Linked DNA regions of Schizosaccharomyces pombe. The gene in region 2 interacts genetically with the main gene of each other region. Each region holds a gene or a part of one and is shown on either strand. Other genes may lie near its edges.

The links.
Region 1: mutations in vhc1 (region 2) and arg1 impair growth when combined (synthetic growth defect), as found in Schizosaccharomyces pombe (one study listed by BioGRID).
Region 3: mutations in vhc1 (region 2) and arg6 impair growth when combined (synthetic growth defect), as found in Schizosaccharomyces pombe (one study listed by BioGRID).

The regions. Positions count from the first base shown.
Region 1 is NC_003421.2:1,611,523-1,618,050, reverse strand, and holds arg1 (acetylornithine aminotransferase), read left to right. Parts: upstream 1-3,114; 5' UTR 3,115-3,153; coding exon 3,154-3,225; exon of another isoform or gene 3,226-3,253; intron 3,254-3,473; coding exon 3,474-4,727; 3' UTR 4,728-5,004; downstream 5,005-6,528. Other genes in the region: SPOM_SPCC777.12C (ER stress response thioredoxin family membrane disulfide oxidoreductase), read left to right, coding at 5-283, 404-841; protein Gta3, read right to left, coding at 1,002-1,388; NEDD8-conjugating enzyme Ubc12, read left to right, coding at 1,933-2,023, 2,090-2,185, 2,268-2,356, 2,468-2,615, 2,863-2,972; Protor homolog, Bit61, read left to right, coding at 5,487-6,528.
Region 2 is NC_003423.3:1,793,720-1,803,264, reverse strand, and holds vhc1 (vacuolar membrane cation-chloride cotransporter Vhc1), read right to left. Parts: upstream 6,319-9,545; 5' UTR 6,252-6,318; coding exon 4,511-6,251; intron 4,465-4,510; coding exon 3,053-4,464; 3' UTR 2,535-3,052; coding exon of another isoform or gene 2,007-2,534; 3' UTR 1,313-2,006; downstream 1-1,312. Other genes in the region: SPOM_SPBC18H10.18C (uncharacterized protein), read left to right, coding at 136-526, 572-909; mhr1 (mitochondrial 54S ribosomal protein mL67 ), read left to right, coding at 2,007-2,534; Cdk11-cyclinL compex kinase subunit Cdk11, read right to left, coding at 6,771-7,112, 7,171-8,025; rps1601 (40S ribosomal protein uS9), read right to left, coding at 8,725-8,772, 8,944-9,318.
Region 3 is NC_003423.3:1,226,461-1,232,458, reverse strand, and holds arg6 (acetylglutamate synthase Arg6), read right to left. Parts: upstream 3,235-5,998; 5' UTR 3,169-3,234; coding exon 1,666-3,168; 3' UTR 1,544-1,665; downstream 1-1,543. Other genes in the region: orotate phosphoribosyltransferase Ura5, read right to left, coding at 733-1,380; GINS complex subunit Psf2, read left to right, coding at 3,432-3,983; nbl1 (borealin N terminal domain-containing protein), read right to left, coding at 4,152-4,293, 4,365-4,533, 4,583-4,697; CCAAT-binding factor complex subunit Php2, read left to right, coding at 5,545-5,998. UniProt on the Schizosaccharomyces pombe protein: N-acetylglutamate synthase involved in arginine biosynthesis.

The DNA.
Region 1 (6,528 bases), on a different chromosome or scaffold from region 2:
TTCAATGAAAATTAATTTGTTTTTTGTGTTTCTATTTGAACTTCTGCATTTCGTGGCAGCTTATAGTTGTGAAGGAGATGAATCAGCTGCCATTGAAGCTATGAATGTCTTACAGGTACCGTATGAAAAATACAACACAGACCCAGTTTGCGCTTTTGACAATTCCACCGTTGTCGAACTTTCAGATAAAACCTGGGATCATGTCATTGAATCTGGCAAATGGTTTGTGCAGTTGACTGCTGAAGGCTGTGCTAACTGTACTCTTGGAGAGCTACTTTTTAACGTAAGTAATGGACTGCATTTAATGTTGTCCAAATGCTCTTGTTATGAGATTGAATTTTGAGCCTCGGAAATAAATTAAACCATCTTTGGATTTAATTGAATCTGTACTAACTAATTTTAGGACCTTTCGCATGCTTTTCATGAAAAATATCCGGATGTCCACTTTGCCCGTGTTTACTTGAGCAGTAGCCTCGAACTTTCTGTACGCTTACTCATTTCTCGGATTCCTTCTTATTATTTCATCGATAATCAAAATTTCTACCGTGTTTCTCCTCAGGTTCTTCCCAAGAACAAGGCAATCGCCTTATATGAAAAAGACGGGTTCAAAAGTATGAAAAAAGAGCAAGGTTTTTTCTCTGTTAACGGGCCCTTGAAGTCCTTTTACTGGGTCTTTGGAAAGGCACTTGCACTTTACGGACACTTAAGTCAAAAATACACCCCTCTTGGAATGAATGTAGCTATTTTTGGGATCTCTGCCTACATAATGTATCGCTCTAGCAAAAAAGCGAAACAAAAACAAGCCGCTGCTGCTGCCGCCGCCGCTGCAAAAAAGAAATAAGCTATGTGGAAAATACTATTAGTTTTTGATAATATCAATTTTTTGAATAATTATACGAGAGTTTGTTACATGTTCTATATGTAAGGCACCGCTCTAGTAAAGGTTTATACCCTATTTGTTTCATTCCTTCCTTTTTTAACAGAACGTAGATTTTCCAACCTTATTGCTTGTTTGGAGATTCATTAGAGGAATCATCTTTTAGCTTAGAATAAACGGCAAAGTACTGCCCGTCTCTTTTCTTAGCATTCTGAAATACATTCCACGGCTCTTGATCGGGTAATGATGGTAGAGATTCCGCATTAATAGCATGATTCAAAGTACGAAATGGTTCCTTAATGAAGGATGTATCAAGTCTCTCAATTGCATGCATTTGAATGATTCCTTCGTTGAGTTTTAGAATTGTTCTTTCATTCTCTTCCTTAGAGTCTGCTTCACGAAGACCAACGAGCCTCAGCAAATGACCATACTCAGTTAAGCCAATTGGTTTGGGTGGATTTCCTTGGAGAATTCGTTTAAGTGAAACCTTTGAAGGTTTCAAAAATGGCATAGTGAAAAGGAAAATAGAGCTAATTACAAGAGAAAAATATAGTACAGGTTAAAAAAAAGATTCAATCTTAAACACTTTGTAAGTTTTTCAAATGCTTTGAAACAGCTGTCGAAGTTGTAGTCGGTTCCTACAATTTAACGACTAGGTTGTAAGTCTGGGTTTTTTTAGAATTAATAGTAAAGGAATATATTAAATCATTCGGTAAGTAAAGTCAATATAATCAGCTTCTCTAATTAGGAGAACTATTTTTCATTACTATGATAACCGTTTCCCATTCCCTAAATTTACGACATCCTGCGATGTCTGTATATAACTTTACATAGCAGTGTTCCAGTACGTAATATTGTTGAATGCTTGCGTAGAGTAACGACTTTATTAAAATTGGTTATTGCAATTGAATAAGGTAATATAAAATGCCACATTATTAGCACTTTAGGTGTCTACATGTTTCGCTATTTTTTAATGATGTATGAGAGTATTGTTTATACCCAAAATTGTAAGCGCATTTTCCATCCTTCTGCCTATTACAAGAATCGCGTAAATCATGAGAAAAATTTGGGAATTAAAAAAGAAAGAAGCTCAAAAAGAGAAAAATGCGTCAGGGATTAGTCCAGCACAAATCCGAATCCAAAAAGGTGCGACTCATCATGTTGATAACTTTTCGCGATTTACTCGAAACTAACCATTTTCGATGAATTTAGACGTTACAGATTTAGAAATCCCATCTACGATGTCTACAAGCTGGCCAGATCCTATAAAATTGAACGTGCTACATTTAGAAATCCGGCCTGACGAAGGTAAGTTTGTGATTCCGCATGAAAGAATATTTGGTGTAGACTTTTTGAGACTATTATTTTTTATTTTGATTAACATGAAAAGGGTATTACAAGGGTGGGAAATTTAAATTTCGAATCCAAATCGACGATAATTATCCTCATGATCCTCCTAAGGTTAAATGTCTAAACAAAGTATGTCAGTCATGCTCTAAATTAGAGTTGCAGCTTATGGTATATTTTTTGCATTTAAGAAAATAACCATTATAACATGTTTTGAACCCTTTCGTTCTGACCTACTGTTAGATCTATCACCCAAATATCGATATTGAGGGAAACGTATGCCTCAATATTCTGCGTCAGGATTGGAATCCAGTGTTGAATTTGAATTCTATTTTGGTTGGATTGCAATTTTTATTCTTGTCACCAAACGCAGAAGATCCACTCAACAAAGGTAGGTTAATTACAATTTTTTGGGGGGCAATGAACTATTTCTTGTTATTGCATTACAAGGAAATGATTATTCATCTCTTAACTATCATTTGATACTCATTTTTTCTACGATCCTTTATTATGGGATTTATAAGGTTCTTTACTGAGGACAATGATTATGATAAGCAATTTTAATATAAGAAATCTGGTTTGCTCCTTAACAAATTTTCTAGATTTATTTAACTATACTAACAAACGATATCTTTTAGAGGCGGCGGCTGATTTGCATAAAGACCCTCAAGGATTTGCATCTCGTGTGCGTACAGCCATGAAAGGTGGTCTTGTGAATGGAATTTCTTTTGACAATGTCATGGCTTAATTTTTCATCAATCTAAATCAATTCGATAAAGATAACCGACATAGATTAGACGACTGTCATGAAAATATTGATGTGTTTTAAATCTCGCTAAATCAGTCACGATTACGATGAACTTCCGATATCAGTATAAAAACACATAACCAGAACCAAACCCCCCTAATAAGCCCGTAACTGCTTTACAATGTTTCAAAGACGATCACTTCTCTCTGTTCGTTCGTCTGGTTCCCAAATCGCCTTTCGTCGATTTGTCAGCGTAAGTACAAGTTTGTTGATAGAGTATGCATTGTAAGTGCAACTGAACATACGATGGCAAATAATTAGACTATCATCTAATTCTGATTGTTTTCGAGAATTCTGTACTTTGCTCTTGTTTTTAGACAAGTATTGATGTTGAGAATGCTTCTTACTGACCCAACAAAATAAATCTTCATTTGTGCTTTCATACTGCCTCATACAGTACTAATTTTAATATTTCTTAAACTGCTTATTAACCAAGTTTAGCTTACCCACAAAGATCCAACTCCTGATACAACCAGTTGCAATATTATCAAGAAGGAAGGGGCGAATATTATATCAGTTTATGCACGCTATCCAGTCGTAGCTGCTAAAGGTGAGGGCTCCTATTTGTTTGACAAGGAAGGTCGTAAATACATTGACTTCACCTCTGGCGTAGCTGTTACATCTTTGGGTCATGCTCATCCTGAAGTTGCTAGACTTGCCGCTGATCAATGCTCCAAATTAGTCCATAGTAGCAACCTTTTCTACAACGAGCCTGCCATTGAGCTATCTAATGTCATTAATAATTCTTTGGCAAAAAATAGCGGTATTGCTGGCCCCACAAAAATTTTCTTTGCCAATTGTGGTACTGAGGCCAATGAGACAGCCTTGAAGTTCGCTCGTAAGGCAGCGTTTGAGAAGTATGGAGAAGGGAAGAGTCAAATTGTTTACTTTAATAACTCTTTCCACGGCCGTTCTTTGGGATCTCTTAGTATCACTGCGAACCCCAAATATAAACGTGGTTTCCAACCATTACTTCCTGATGTCGTCCAAGCCGTCTATAATGACCCTGCATCCATAGAGCAATTTGTCAATGACAAAACTGCGGCTGTTATTGTCGAGCCCGTTCAAGGTGAAGGTGGTATTTGTCCTGCCAAGCCTGAATTTTTGATTGCTTTGCGCAAGGCCTGTGATAAGGTTGGTGCTTCTTTAATCTATGATGAAATTCAATGCGGACTTGGTCGCAGCGGTGATCTTTGGGCCCATAGTATCGTTAAGGATGTCGCTAGTCCCGATATTATCACAGTTGCCAAACCTTTGGCTAATGGTCTACCTATCGGCGCCACCATTGTCTCCAGTAAGATCGCTGCTGAAATTCACCCTGGTGAACATGGCAGTACTTTCGGAGGTAATCCTGTTGCTTGCCGTGTAGGCACATTCTGTGTTAATGAATTAGGGTCATCCAAGATTCTACAAAACGTTAGAAAGCAACACAAGGCTCTTACTTCACGTTTTGATGACTTTGTTGCCAAATACCCTAATCTTATTCGTGGATATGCTGGTCGTGGTCTTCTTCTTGGTTTGCAATTTACCGAGCCCCCTGCTAAATTTATTGAGCTTGCTCGTCAACAAGGTCTTTTACTCTTACCAGGTGGAAACAACAACACCCGTGTCCTTCCTAGTTTGAATGTTAAAGATGAGGTTATTGCTAAGGGTTTGGATATCATGGAGAGCACTTTGAAGGCTTTAAGTAAGTAAAAGTGTATGTTTTCGTAGACTTGGTCATTGAATGGATTGGTTATATAGTGCGATAAAAAGTGATTATTACGAGAAATCTTGTTCCTCGAAAACATATATTAACCTTGCTCTCATTTGCCAACCAAAAAATTTTTTGATAGGGGGGTTACGAAAAGCTTAGCTGGAAGCTTTACATTGTAAATACTGGTTTTCGTTATTCCCTTTCTTTTCATAATCAATTTTGTTTACATTTTTTGTTAGAAAATTAGATATATATTGTTGTTTTTCATCTACTAAACTGAATTGTCGTAATATGTACCGTAAATACTCTGTCAAATGATAGTAATTCACAAAATCAATGTTTTTTTACTGCGTTTTCTATTACTAACTTTTAAAAAGTTATATAGCAAATAACATTCCATGTTTTCTTTTAGCATTAACTATTTTTTTCTTTGGCATACAATTATTATATCAACATGCTATTCATTCAATTCACATTAGAACGATATCGTTATAAGGAATTCTTAATCAATTTTTCGTTTCTATATTTTATCTTAATTTAAGGCGCACATCGATACTTTAGCAAAATACCACCATATTCAAAAATAAACAAAATTTTTTATCTTTCTAAAAAATATCATTTTTTTAAGTAAGTTTAATCATTTTATAATGATTGAACAATGAATATCATCTCATGCTTATTTTGAAGAATCGCATTTCGCGTAACTAAAAGCAAATTTCTTGGATACCCTCAGTACATTTCCAAAAATATTACTAAAGATGGTAGGGAGGGGATCTTTTTCATCTACCTCGAGCGCCTCATCCATTAATTGGATTCCAAAAAACACTAAAACTAGCATTGAAAGTGTTTCTAACACTATTTCGTTGTCGGAAAATGGGCAGAACCAAGACTTGGAGACTGTTACTACTAAGGAATCAAACGTTGGCGACTCTGACACGACTGAAAACATTAAAAGTCCGTTTAATGGACAATGGCCATTTAGCAGAAGATCTAGTCAAAGTAGCAGTCATCCGGTTTTTGAGGAAACACATTGGAGTAAGCATTCCAAGCGCCCAGGAAAGTTGAACGTTTTAACGCCTACTAGCCCTTCTAATGTTAATGCCGAAGTTCAAAGTATTTCTACGAAAACTCAATTATCGCTGCTTAACCTCTCTCCGCATAAGCATAAAAAGCCTAAAGATGGTTTAGATCTTTCTGCTTTGCAGAAAACGCTCAACGGGTCTCGAAATTTCTTAAGAGGAAGAAGAGACGCTGGGGGAATTTTTGGCGCTTCCATCCCACAATCACTTGTTACAAATCAAATAATCAATGGCTTCGGTGCAGCCTCTCTTGCATTTGCTAAATTGGGCAAAGTTCGCTCTCCTTTAGAAGGTCGCTTTAACCTGGTTCCCATATCCGCGGATGAAACTTGGCTTATTGTGGAATCCGAAGTTTGTAGTTTATATTCGGGTGAGGCTTTGCACTATTCTCTTGAAGATTTGAATGGAATTCTTATATTACATTTACAAGCTCTTATCCGTGATACGAAGATGAATGAGTTTGTTGGACACTTGGAGACACTATTCCGTAAGGCTACCAAGTGCCTTTCGGACAGTTTATCGCCTGTTCCAGAAGAATTATTTTTGAATCGTATCATAGAAACATGGCTGTTTTTCTTTTCTTCCGTATTGCCATACGTTCAAGGTGTGTTTTTACCTATAAAGACAAAATTGTTTGATGAACAAGAAAAAACACAATTACCCTATGAAGTAAATGAGTTTTGTTCCACAAATAGGGAAAAACTAAATGTCCATCGTCTTG
Region 2 (9,545 bases):
GTGGATTTTTAGGCTATTCAAGTGTTTGGTTTTGATCTATTTATCTATTTTATATTTTAATTTCGCATTTTATTTTGCAATGTTCAAGTTGGAACTCAAACGTATATAATCACTATTGGTAAAAGGCTCTTCAAAATGCCAGACGAAAAGTTACCTCAATACAATGAAGTTTGGAATGATTTGGAGAAGGGTTGTTTACATTCTTGTCCTTCATATTCAGTCAATAATCATGTAAACAATCCAATTGTCAAACAAAACTCAACATTAACACAACCATCGTTACGAAAAAAAAATACAATGGCTGCACCTGCTAGATTAAGAAAGCGTTCGGAAAATGTGCGACTTACACAAGCTAGATATGCGATATTTCATATCTTCCTTCCTTTCATTCTTACTTTATTGCTTTATCATAATTTTTATAATTATTTCGATCAGGCATTGGCGGATCTTAATTCTGTGGTTAAATATGTTATTGAAACTATAGTGTTAATATTTACATACGTGATGACAGTGATTATTGTTTATTGTAAGTTTTTGAGATGATTTGAATTCATGGCTAACGATTTTCTAGTTTCATTTTCGTTAATTAAATTAGCGTTTGAAGAAGCTTATGTTTATGCACCATCTGTAGCTAAAGCGAATGAAGGTCTAGCTAAACATGTAGCTAAAACGATTGCAGGCCTAGTTAAATATGTAGCTAAAGCAATTCAAGGTTTGGCTCATATTATTTTATCCTTACTGTTGTTTATTCTCGGGCTCGAAGTAATAGAACAAGATGAAGAGACTGGCGACGTTGAAATGTCGTCTATGCGAGGCCAAGCAATTACCACAGAGCCAGCAAGTGACAACACAATGGCTGAGGGAACCGATTGCAACACTTCTAAAGATGTAGAATCGGGCAGCAGCTAAAAGTCATGGCTAGAAAAAAAAATCAAGGGGCTGCCAACCAGCTGCGAGTGTCTTTTTTATTTCATTACTAATTTTCTTACTTTCCTGCAGAAGCTCCTTTTTTCCCCTTTATTTCTATTTCTTGTATTATTACCTTATACGCATTGTCACTTAATCATTTCCGATGACAGTCATCACTCTTTTTCCATACATACATTTTTGTCTCTGTTATAGAGTAAACACGATGTGTTTCTGTGGTGCTAGGAAAAGTCATTTAACTAATGAATCTGGTTGTCAATTATAAATTAATCATCCTCTTTATTGTTTTACCAAATTGATATACAATCCTTAATTATGACTTTGTAAGATTTGCGAATTAAAAAATTGAACAAGTAAGGCATTACTCAAAAGACGCAAAGTAGTGATTTAACCTTAGTTTCTGTTTAATGCATAAAATGAGGATTCCATATATCATTTTCAAGTGTTCGGAGCTTTAAAATACAGTATATACAGGAAATATAAGTTCAAACTTGTTTCTAAAACAAATAAAAATGAAAAATCAATTTGGTGTAGAGCGAAAACCTATTTTAAATAATGCGATTTCCCAATTCCTGGTCAGTAGCAATTTCTTTACAAAAAGAATTAAAAAATTATTCAATTTGTATTATATGAAATCTTTCGTATTCAAAATCTACCAACATTCAGCCCAAGCGAAAAGTAATATTTTTTGCTATGTCCATAGGTAACAATATAATTTATTTCAGAGAACACCCATTGAAATTGCTGCTTATATTAACTGTGTAACATAATATATTAGGTCACAGAGAGATTCATTGCACTTTAAGTATCGTTAAGCAGATACCGAAATACGTGAGCGACACTTTAAATAGATATTAAACTGCGTAGCTGACCAGTATTCAAATTTTCCGTCACTCACCGTATCATTAAAACATTTACTGTTTTTGGCTGCTCAACGCGCAATGCTGCCTAACATCTGTGCTAGCAAACGATATGTGTTTATTGGGCACAACGTTTATACGCGGACGCGCTATTAACAAACTTCGCATCTCTTACAAGCATATATGTAAACAGCCAATCTGTACTCGTAAAAGGAAAGAATGCTTGAAAAGAACAAGTATCTCTATATATTTAGGCATATTCAAACGAATCAGGTACTTTTATCTCAAGGAAATGTTTTAAAAAAGACTGCGTTGTTTCAACTTCCCTACCCACTTCAAAAGCCAGTCGCTCCAAATGGTATGCGACCCGCTAAGCTCCGTAAAGACCATTGGGTTCCTTTACTAAAAGTCGAATTTCCTAATGAATCAATGTTTCAATCTGTTTTTATGCAACTGTTAAACTATCGAAAATATCGTTCTGTTCAACCACTGACTAGTGACCTTTTGAAATTGCCTATACCCGTTCGTAGAAGAAAAATAATGCGACAAGAGGTTCCTAACACGATTGCGGACTTGGCAGATATTTTAAATAAAGAAAAATTTCCCGAAAATTCCGTTCGTTTGCAACTGAGTGATAAATCCGATAGTGAATATGCAGATTGGCCCCCTAGTGTGCAGATTGATTCAGAGGAAATTAAACTCTCGCGAGGTTTCCGTGAAAAAACAACCGTAGACGAAGCTAGATGAAGCATAATATCATTACTTCTCTCACTTTCTTCCTTCAAAAACACCCCTCATCCATTTTTAGGCTTTCTTAAAGGGCATTATATGAAGTATAAGCTAACACATATTCATATTAGCTCAATCTTTTTTACTTAATGATAAAGTCCTTTTTACTAAAGACGGTTACGAATTCTTCCCAGTGTATCCAGTGTATTGCACTGGACAGCTTCCTTAGCTTATCATTGTACTTCAATGCGAGAGTATTGGCTAGATACTCAAGACAAGATAAATTTAATACAAATCGACACCAAATACTCGTATCTTTATTATTTTACCATTTTGAAGTTTTCGAGCTCCTATGAAATATATGCAAGATTAACTCATCACTTTATTGCCTCGTTTTTTTTTTGTTTAAAGTTTGGTCCAGAATAAAAAAAAAATATTAGCATCTAAAATAGAAATCATGGACCAAATATTTAAATAGTTATAACAATGCCAAAAGAAAAGACTTTATAAACCAAAGACATAAATACCATAAATCGTTAAAGAGCGGTAGTTATAGTTAAACTCTTAGAGTGGATTAATGCACAAGGAGGTAATCCTTCCATAAATATTAATAAGTCATCAACATATTCCTCGCTTTTTCGAAAGCTCTTATGAGTGTCGGCCAAAGGTGCTGGTAAAACAGTAAACAATACAGAAGTATTTTTAGTATGTTTCAGCACGATTTCATTCATAATTATGTATTGAGATCTCGAGGATAAATCGTTAAACGTCAACTTCTCTTTAGAATAGTCCCTTCCTATTTTTTTCTTTGGTGCTAGTCTATCAGATGAACTATCTTCTCGGACCACGTTGGGCATCAGAGATGACTCAATAGTACTGTCAGAATAAGTTCTTCTATTTTCTTGTTTTGGTGATAAAGAACGGTTTCCGAAAGAAGATTCAGTCTCAAACGACTTTACTGAATGCATATGTGGCCCAAGGCGGAAACTCAATGGCACACTTAAAGGTGGAGCACTCTTATCAAAGCTGGCAGATCTAAAGTTATAACCAGACATACGACGTGGAAAACGAATAGGTCCTAAGGAATCTACAGTATTTCCTCTTCTTTTCTTTTCTTCCTGCCACCACGAGTCATCTTTCAGTAAGTTTTCAAGCTCGGAAGACTTGCTAGGTCTCACATGCTCATTTTTGACAATGTACCTATATGCATCCAAATTCATTGCAGCAAGACAGAGCACTACAACGTCGGCTTTGATACGGAACGTTTCTAGCATTTGATGCATGCTTTCTCGTTCTGCCTCTATTTCATTCTCGAATTCAACAAGAGTGATAAGCCGTAGCCTACAACCTTGTTTCCAATCTGAAGCTGTATGAAGGATCCAACTAAGTTGAAAAACCATAGTATACGTCTCGAAATTCGTCGCAAACGTTGGTGTACTTTCATTGACTTCTGACCCCACACCTGATATTCTATGAATGGGAAACATATCTATATATTGCTTTTCTCCCTTTCTTTTTGGCCAATTAAGTCTATCGAACCCATTAGTTACCATAACGTCCACCGAACCAACAAGCATGTCTTCCAATATCTGTACCCACTTCACAGGTAGTATATCATGCTCCACAAATTCTTTTTTACTGTCAGATTCTGATTCTTCACTAGTATTCTCAAGAGAGAAAGAAGAACCCGAGTATATACGATGTCTACGATAATTCGTATTAATAAATGTTAGCACAGCTATGTTTGGACGAATTCCCCCCAAGCCTGCAGAAGATATAAGACCACGGATACCCCAAACTTCGTCTGGAGCAATAGTTAGTTCAACAAATGCTTTGATACCTCGATCAAGGACAAACTGATGCCAAAGACGTTGCTGCTTTCTTAAATCATCCATGCTAGCCTGAAAATCATCGGATACAATAACGTGCCCTAAGATATAGAGGGAACCTATAATTTATGGGTTAGTATTGTCAAAAAATGTCGGTATACATGCCTTTCTTTAATGAATTGCAGAAACGGATAACATTTTCTGACCGATTCGGGTTGTTAATCAAAAGTAAAATTTGAGGCCTCCAAAACTTTATATTTTCTCTTGCTTTATTAGTTTGCAGCAAGTATTTTCGAAGTTGATGATAAATGATGCCTTGAGACACATCACCCCAATTTTTAGGAGGACATGTGAAATATATGACTACCACCAAAATTCCTGCAATTAAAAATGAGATAAAGGCATTCAAGCGATCAACGTAAAACATTACGCCAAATGACAAGATGGTACCCACCAGTGTAGTGCGTCTATTGAAATACCGAAAGGTAGGTCGAAAATTTGGGGTACTACTAATTCGTAACAGAAAACACGATAAGTTGATAAAGCCAAAAGTCAGAAGAAAAGTCATTGTAATCATCGAAGAAAGCATATTGATGTCCCAAAATAAACTGATTTGCGTAATTAAGTAAGTCACTCCAATTGCAACATAAGGAATATCATCGTAGCTAGAACCCTTTGCAAAGAAAAACATTCCGGGTATTAAATCATCTCGCGCGATTGCCTGTAATAGCTTTGCAGCTCCAAATATACCCATAAACGAGCTAAAGGCGCCACTAGAAAGAATTCCAGAAATGATGAATAAAGGATGTAAACTAATATGTTCCATAACGTCCATATCAAGTAAAAGTCCCGTACGAGTTACAGAGGCACCAACACATAAAATTACTAGCAAATAAAGCAAAAAGGTCGTTGCTTGAGAAGATATAGTACCTTTAGGGATAGAACGAGAAGGTGCTTTAAGATCACCAGACATGCTTGCGCCAGCCAGTAGACCTGCCGTTGCAGGAAAAAATACGCCAAATGTAGATTTAAAAGATTCATAACCTGTTCCTTTCTCATTTTCTGTGTAAGCAGATGCTAAATTTTTCATCAGCGTAGACCATTTTAATCCCGTAAAATGAACGAGTAAGGAAGGATCTTTGAAAGGATGAACAAATATCGAAGAGATTGGTATCGATATTGTTGAGAGTATTATAACCACAAAAAGGGCGTTTGAGGCCTTAGCAAAAATGGCAGAACCTAAACAACATAAAATACAACACATTGCGAGGACACAAGTTGTATACAAAAAGACCCACCAATATCCTTCGGGTAAAAATTGTGAAATAGTGCCTGATTCTTTTCCAAAAATGCTTATAATGGGCTCAACAAAACCAGAAATATTCATACCAGTATTCAGTATCTGCCCAACATAGAATATCAAACCAATTGAGCCTCCTAATTCGGGGCCAATAGATCTAGAAACCGCATAATATGCACCTCCGCCACGTACCATACCGTTCGTGCAAATTGCAGAGATCGATAGACTTGTAAATATACCTACCGCATAACTAATAAATAACATCAGCAATGTTTTAAGAACACCAGCTTCTCCAATAATCCAAGGAAATCTCAAATAAAGAAGGATGGAGAGTACGTTTAAAGTAGTTGGAATGAAACAACCTTCAAACGTTCCCAATTTCACCGCTTCATTTGGTTGTTCATTCTCAGCAAACGTTACACTTCTAGACAACGGAGGTAATTCATTAAAACTATTACTACGATAACTTTGTTGTGGTTCTTGTAATAAAGGTGTGGAAGACTCTAAATTTTCCTGTGTTTCCCAAAATCGTCTGGATTTTCGTACTGATAATCTATCTGCCAAAAAATCAAATACTTGACTTGATTTAGTTAAAAGTCTTGCCATAATCACAAAAAATTATCCCCATTAAATATAAAATAAGGAAGGCAATAATTTTGTGGTAGGAACTGTCAAGGTTATTAAATACTAAAAAAATTGGAAATGGTAAGGAAGAGTGAGTGTAGTCATGTAATAGAAACAGGGGTCCCATAGATATAGTAAAACCATCAGCAGTGATATAAGAAAAATTTTTTGACAATACTTTGCAACAGATTACTATCAATTCATGAAAGTTCATTACCAGCTTGCTTGAAAACATCGATGCTCGAATACACTTACCTCAGTTAAAAATAGGACTACTGAACACTATGAGTGAAACGTTTTGTAGAAAGGGAGAAATTTTACTCAAATAAATGGCCATAAATCGAAAATCAATGATATCATAAAATGTTTACAATTACAATTGCAATTTGGGGACTAAACGGAAAAAATAAAGAAATATCTAAATATTAGTAATATAAGTAGTGTAAATTAAGGCCAATTACATTTCCACGTATTATAATGCCAATATTCACTTCATCAAAATCACTTCTTTGGAGATGCACTACGAAAACTTTGAAACACGTTTTTTTCTTTTGATTCACCTTTGGCCTTACTAGGAAAAGTAGGAAAAAATTTAGGATCCTTGGGTCTGGGAGATTCGTAAAAATAAGGATGTTCTAGTGCTTCTTTGGCAGATATTCTCTTCGCAGGATTTAGACTTAAAAGTCGATTTAATAAATCGTACGCGTTTCCCGTTAAATTAGGGATAGAAGTACGAATCTTAGAGTGGGTAGGGACCGTAGGGTGTTTAATTTTGTTTGCATAAGGAAGAAGAAAATATTGGGGCCACTCTTCCCTAGTCGGATAACCGAGCAAATTGAATATCTTAATATTATTGTTAGGAATTTTTTAAGGTAAGAATAAAAAATCAAAAATCGCATACCTTGTATAATTGATCTAACTCACTTTTCCCAGAAAACAAAGGAGTCCTAGTAATCATTTCAGCGAAGATACATCCAATGCTCCACATGTCAATTTCTTTACCATAGCTTGGTGCACCAAGCAAAAGTTCAGGAGCACGATACCAAAGAGTCACAACTAAGCGTGTCAAAGAGGATTTGGGTTCTGATACTGGCCTTGCCAATCCAAAGTCGGCGAGTTTGATTTCGCCGGTGTTATTCATTAGCAAGTTAGAAGGCTTTAAATCTCTATGTAGATACCAATGGTGATGCATAAATGCCGTGGCAGCCAAAAGTTGAAGCATCAGTGTTTTGACTTCAGATTGTAAGAAATCTTCGGGCATGTTATCAAGTAATGTTTTGAGATCATGTTCCATGAACTCCATAACTAGGTAAACATCCTTCAAATCTTTACCAACAACCACTTTTTCCAATTCTACAATATTATCATGTCGAATGCTGGATAGTGATTCAATTTCTCGCAGACTAGTAATAGGGAATCCAATTCCATTAGGGTCAAACTTAATCTTTTTGAGTGCAACCAGGGTATTCGTACTTTTGTCAAGACCTCGATAAACGATTCCGTAAGATCCCTCCTCAATTTTTTCCAATATTTCATAATCATCAATAGAATTGCAAGACTTAAGTTCAGGTGTATTCCCCATCAAGTAGAGCCTGCAAGCATCAATGTTTCTTTCTTCAGCTTTCTCTTCTTCCTCTAATATTTTTCTTTTTCTTTTTTTTTCTAACCGTCGCTTTTTACGCCATTCCTCTTCTAATTTTTGATTTTCAATTGCGAATTGATTCGTTTCTTCTGTCTCCCACTTGGAGCCTGCCATAATGGTGTCTAATCACTCAAATTTTATCAAGTAAATTTATCGTTAGATTTGCAAAACTATCTACTTCAAATAAGGATTTATTTTTCGGTGCTTGTTTGTTCTCAATTAAAATGACATTGCTCGATAACCACTGTGGGATTTCTAACTGAATATTAGCAGAAAAGTAAAATGATCAAAACTCCTATTTTTTTTTCAGCAAGCCGTTTCGACATGTGATATTTAAAAAAGTAAGAAGTGACCTGCGTAAGTGCAGTCGCACAGTGCATAGTGAGAGATTTTCAAAACACTAAAAAAGAAGAAGCAACCTTGAATTAAATAATCTTTAATTGTTTAATTTTGAACACTCAAAAAACACAATCCATCATATGGCGGCGGCCCTACTCACCTAACTCGTTCGTTCAATCTACCATTTTGATATTCCTACAATACCGAACAAGGAATTTCCACTACACCTAATCGACTAAGCAATTACACGACAGCACTATAGAAACTATAAGTACTATTAAAATCTCTAAATACATTTCTACAGTCGCTTTCTCGTACACTGAACTTTTGTTTCATATATGTCAATACCGAAGAATTATGAATAAGGGTTTACGAAAACACCAACGGTTGGCTCGTACACAGTATCAAACAATATTTATGATAAATCAATTGTATAGATACATAATGGAAAAAAGCCAAACAGCCAAACACATTTTAACGGTAAGACTTTTGTTGACGAGCACGGGCACCATGACCACCGAACTAAAAAAAATCATTAGTAACACATTCTAAAAAAAAGAAACAAATGTTATGTCGTATCGAGAGATACAGTATCATTAACATTCTGTACACGGAACAAGTTCGACAACACAATAAATCGTGCAAGAAATCGATTCCGAAGATGTCATGAACTTCTCTTCGTTTAGCACATACCTTCTTGGGCTCCATACGACGAGGATCAGCAACCAACAAAGTACGGTCATAAGTAATGAGAGCCTTCTTAAGCTCAGCCTTGGAGTGTTCATCAACGAACTTTTGGTAGTAAGCAACGATGGCCTTGGAGATGGCTTGACGAATGGCATAGATTTGAGAAACATGACCACCACCAGAGACACGGACACGAATGTCAACACCGGCAAACTTATCGGCACCAGCGACCAAGATAGGCTCGTAGACCTTCATGCGCAAAATTTCGGGTTGAACAAGAGAGAGAGGGGCACCGTTGACCTTGATCAAGCCCTTGCCGACCTTACAGTGGGCGACTGCTGTGGCATTGCCTTTCTTTCCAAAGCACTGAACAGACTGCATGTTGGCTCGTGGATAGTTTTACTGGGTTGTAGTCCTGAAAGCCAAAAAAGTTTCGGCATGGTTCCTGTTTGCAAAAACAGTCACACTGAATTAGCAAAAGTTATTTTGTTACGATAAAATATATTATACGAAGCACTAAACTAATAACGTAATGTAACGCACGATCTGCATAACGATCTGTGATAAAGTTCGAGGTGAAAAGTAGAATTCTACAGAATGCAGAACGC
Region 3 (5,998 bases), 570 kb from region 2:
AAACCATTTTTATTTATAGACTGCAGTGACTACTTATTCAAATTCACATTGAATATGAGAATAAAAACATTCCAAAATTTCTTAACATTTTCTTGTCATAATAAAAAGTTAATCACCAGGCTTCTGTTTAAAGGTTTTACCATTATTTAATATTTGGTATTTCAAACACAGAGCATAAATACCCGTCGCAGAATTGAAAAATAAAATCCTAAATTTTTTATAATTGCCCATTATATGCGTCTTTCGAACGTAAATAATCATCACTAAAAACCAAATCCTACAAATTTTTACAAAAATAATACACAAATACCATTTTGTGAAACATTAATTATCCCTCAACTCAATATTTTGGTAGCTTCATTCCTAACTGTCATCTTGGAAAGATTCGAATAACACAAAAGAAGAAACAAACACAAAAAAAACAGATTCACGGAACTAATCAAAAGATAGATGGATATGTGCAAAACAAAAGCTTAACAAGTAAACCAATTTCCTTCGTCTATTATAGAGAAATTTTTGAATACCGCTAAATGCAATCGCTTTATAGAAAATTCCTTCTAATATGAGTTGTATCTATCACCACAAATATACAGATAAAAAAATTCTATAACATATGTAAATACCAACTAACTTCACTCTCTTTAAAAAAGCAAAGCTAAAAACCAAAAAAGATACTTATCCAATTATTCTCTTTCCTCCTTCCAAATTTTTAAAAGAAACATTACCATAAGCTCATTTGGCTTGGTACTGCTGTCTGTAAGCATCCATTGCCTTTGATTCAGCTGCAGTTAAGTCTGATTTGGTAAAGTCAACAATGTCGTCCAAAGTAAGGATGGAGGAAACGGGTAAGTTAAGCTCCTTCTTCAATCTACCAATGGTACTTTCGTTTACTTCGGGGTCCAGTCGCTCTTGGCGGTCAAGCAAAAGGACGATACCAGCCAATTTTACGTGCTTAGGTTCTAAGAAGGAAATTGCTTCACGAATGGCAGTTCCAGCGGTAATAACATCATCCAAAAGTAAAACCTTTTTACCTTCCATTTCGGCGCCTACAAGGTTACCTCCTTCACCATGGGACTTGGCCTCTTTGCGGTTATAGGCAAATCCATAGCTCTTTCCAGTTTTTTCATAAAGTTTGACGGCCGTTATAGCAGCCAAAGAGATACCCTTATAAGCAGGACCAAATATGACATCAAAATCAACGTTCATAGCGATAATAGTCTCGGCATAGGCTTCTGCAAGAGCGCATAAATCGGCACCATGAGTGAAATTACCAGAATTGAAGAAGTATGGAGATTTTCTGCCTGATTTTAAGGTGAAAGTTCCAAACTTCAAAACATTATGTTCTAAGGCACGACGCAACAACTCAAGTTTATAAGACATGTTTACTACTAGTTTTGTTGATAAACGTTGATACTCACAAAAGAAAAAAGCTAGTATCACCTTTTCTAAGCTCTACATGGGGGTTATGTGGGGGAATAAACAAAAATCATAACTAAAGAAAAATGCAAGTTTGTAGGCAAACTACTCAATCTATAATCTAATGTGCAAAAGAGAATTAATGTCCTATCAAAATGGACTTTTTTCCTTTTATTAAAAAGTTTGACAAGTGCTTTTGAAGAAGCGAAATAATCTTGTCTCTGATAAAGTGCAATCGTTAACTTCCACTCAATTCAACCATGTTGGCTGAATTTTATCAATAACGCTCATATACTGGTTCACTCGATCCAAATTTCTGACATGTGAGTCTCCAGTCCAGAAAAGTTTCCAAGGTGTTTTGCTTGACTTTAAGGAGCCTACACTTCTTTCAAAGTACCATTTATTGACTGGATTAGTCAGGCGAGAGCGCCATATCAACTCTTTGGGAAATAAATCAGTCATAACATTAAACATAACATCAGATATTGCTGCTGAACCCTGGGCTCCTTGTGAGACGGCAAGCTTATCAAGATAAGGGACCTTTTCATTCGTTGTTCCATCTGGTTGTTCATAAGTTACAATGGCTGTCCCTAAATAGTCCCCTGCAATAATGACTGCAGCTAGCGAATTCTTCAACCTATCTAAATATGCGTCCATATCAAGCGTTCGCTTAAAGGAGTCATTAATTAAAACCCAAAGCCTTTCCCACGAAACGGAGCCATCAGTTAGACATTTCGGACCTAGGAATGTATATACCGGTACACCGCTACGCAAAACAGTTGTTTTCGTAATAGGAGATCGATCGCGCGGCAAGGAACATGAAATAATAGAGCGATCCGTCAAAACATTGTGAATTAACGGATTTTTGTCTAAGACAGGATTTGTAAGCATAGCATCCTCAGGCGTAGTGATTAGAGCAGAGGCATCATCCGGTAACATTTTCAAACAGCGTCTTACCAAAATCAAATTTTTTCTATGATAAGGTGGAAGTGTTTTCGCTAACTCGTCAAACTCTTGAGCCAGATTGATGAGAACATGACTAGAACCAGTTTGTCGTTTAGAACATGGCATGCCACCATTTTTATCAAGAATGACGATTCGGTCTACCCAAAACCCAAAGTTTGGCTTGTGTAACGAGTAAGTTAAACCAGCAAGAACCTCATTACCATCAATTGGAACCTCAATGACGTTGGGCATTAAAATCGAGCTTGGCACTATGACCGTGTAAAGTGAAGACAGCGCTTGAAAAATACCTTGCACATTCTCAACACTAGGGCCTTCAGGGCCCAATTGACATACAGAGGAGTAGCTAGGACGGGTTAACACTCCCGCTTTCGAAAAAATTTCCGAAACTCGAATGACTCTATTTTGCTGTTGCTGTAGCTCCTCAAAGATTGAAAGTTTACGTTTTTTCGCTACGACCGTACCATTCTCCAAATATTTAAAAGGAGATGTCATGCCAATTGGATTGGAAGTGGGAACAATCACTGATTGAATCCCTAAACGTGCCAGGCTATTTATACTTCGACCAATTCCATATAGGGTATTATCACTTAAAGAATCCACATCATCAATTTTGGTAATAGAAATTCTGTTTAAAAACGAACTCGATATTGGCTGAGCGAAGGATTTCTTGTTGGGAGAGCCATCCTTAAGCGAAGAATGTTTTTGCAAAAACCCTTTCGTAGACCTACGAGATTGGACTGATTTCAATATCCAAATAAGGTCTTGTGACAATGAAGGTTTTTGCATTCAAAATTATTACCTTAAAACGAGAAATATAAAAATTTGACAATCATATACCGATGACCTAAGAGCAAGATGTGATTTAGATGAGGGTGACTATTATGAGTCCGAAACCCACCACACAAAAAATTATGCTGTAAGGAATAACAACCAATAAATGCTATAAACGAACTCCAAAATAGAAAAACAAAACTTTAAATAAAAAAAGACATTAAGCCCAAAAACGGTACTATTGATAGGCATTTTTGTACTGTTCGTTGGTGATAGAGATGGCCTTACCAAGGGAACTTGAAATTTCATTCTCACCAGAGGAAATGGAATTTTTAGCTGGCAATGAGTATATTAACATTGTTCCTTCAGAAACAATGGATCAATTGCCGCTAGTTAGCGCGACGATTCCCATTATGAAGCCTCCCAAAAAATGTCGGGTTCCTTTATGGTTGGCTCTTGAGCTAAAAAAGCAAAATTTGGCAAGGATTGTACCTCCGGAATGGATGGAAATAGGCAAACTTGAAAACATACGAGATGATGAATTGGAAAACGAGACATTCTCAGAGTTGCCTTTTCGGTGGCTAGAAACGGCGCATTTATTGTTAAACTTCTGTGCTGATGATATCGAGGATGTTGAGGATATCAGGAGGATTTTGCTGGACATTCGAGAAGCTAGACAAAGTAAAGCAAGAACGGGATTGGAAGCCATTAATGAAGTTCAACTAACTTTGGATAATTTGGGTGCAATGGAAATTAACGAAATACGTCCTATATTTCGAGAGGTGATGGACAGAATGCGCAAAATTGTTCAAGTTTCCCAAGAAGAATGAGTTACTCATCAAAAGTAAAGTGGGAAATAAATGGACTTCACATGAGAATATTTCGGTATCGTGTGGATGATGTACTTTAAAAATAATGATAATGAATCCTACGAAGTGTTTATGAATACCAACTTTGTAGTAGTGAAATTTTATCACAGTAAGCAGTAGATGAGGGTTTCACACTTGCGACTTTGAACTCGATTTGGAAACGGTGGTGCTTTTTGATGAAGAAGAAGAGGAGGATGCCACCGTTTTTGTAGGTTGTCTAGCGGACTTTTGGGAGGAAAGCTCGTCTAGATTATAAAATTCTTTTATTTTTCTGAAATAGTAATTAGCAATTAGTGTTTCCAGTAGTACGTATGGCAAAGTAAAATTTGATATTACACTTACGTTCTCCACGGTGTGGCAGACACATTGCAGGAAAGATGGTTCTTTAGATCGCGCAGATGCATATTTCGTTGAGCGCGAGGAATAGCGGCGATACGCATTTCTCCTCGCATACGAATTGTTGAAGCAAGTAAACTAGCGTTTGAGCGCAAACGTCGTACTTTATCGGAAACTGAAAAATACCCGTTAACACTTTACTACTTCCAGGTACAAAAACTTACGTTCAAATGCTAAATTTTCAAGTATATCGTTCTTGTGTTCTTGGAGAATTCGCTGTCGTACTTGACGATGTTTCGTCTCTCCAAGCTCTTCCACTCTTTTACGCTTGTTCATCATTAAGCATTATAAATTATCAAAAAACAAAACAGATGTTTGCTAACAGCTGATCAAAAGACGGTACTTCTGGGTGCGCTGAAAAGGTGGTGGGAATAAGAGTTGTTGTATAAACAATAAATCTTCAACTAATATGTAAGTAACATCGTTACCTAATACTCAATATGTAAACAAACGTTAGAAAGGAGAGGATTGCACAAAAAAGCGTACCCAAAAGATATTTTATAAATTGAAAGAAGAATAATGACCTAGAATTAGAAAAAAGCAGCAAGTTTACAAAATAAAAGCGTTGAAACACATCACTTTAAAAGGTACATAAGAATTGATGATGCTTACTTCTAAGTAAATTATTAATAATATCAAATAAAAAAATATTGTACGAGGTAAAAGTCTCCCTCTTCAACTACATCGCATACAACATTGAAAACTGTTTAAAAAAGATATTTGGTATAACGTGTTCCAGTGCCATACGCTACAATGCAACCTCTGTTGTATTATATTTCGACTGTTAGCTTTTTTTTAACCCAATTCATAAGAAAATAGTTATGCCATTCAGTTAGTGACATTATCATATGTGTACATAAGATTATATATTCGTTTGTGACAAAATGCACTGCAAGCCGTCCTCACTATTTGCAATCCTGGAAAGATCGACAATAATCGTTATACACATTTACCGATATGTAAAGAATAGCTGCTTACCATTGGTAGTCGCTAGCGCCTGCGGAGTTACAAACCACCTAAACCAACCAACCGACCAACGAGACGAATATACCGTAACGAGCAGAATTTTGATTCCTGAGATCCTCCCAATAGTTAGAGCAATTGAAATAAGAATAGTCATTTTCCAATGAATCCATATGAGCCGGTCGAGGGGCTTTACGTGAATGCAAAGCAATACCATCGAATTTTGAAACGTAGAGAAGCTCGCGCAAAGTTAGAAGAGAGATTGCGTGGTGTGCAGACTACGAAAAAACCATATTTACATGAATCAAGGCATAAGCATGCTATGCGACGACCTCGTGGTCCTGGTGGCCGATTCTTGACTGCTGACAAAGTATCAAAATTGAGAGCGCAGGAAGCTGCAGAGGCAGCTGCTAATGGAGGAAGTACAGGAGACGATGTTAATGCCACAAATGCCAATGATGCCACCGTGCCTGCAACCGTTTCTTCTGAAGTGACTCACACGTCTGAAGGATATGCGGATAGCAATGATTCAAGACCTAGCTCTATCTCCAACTCGTCTGAGTCTCCAGCTCCTATCAATTCTGCCACAGCATCTATGTCTCCTGCTAACAATACTT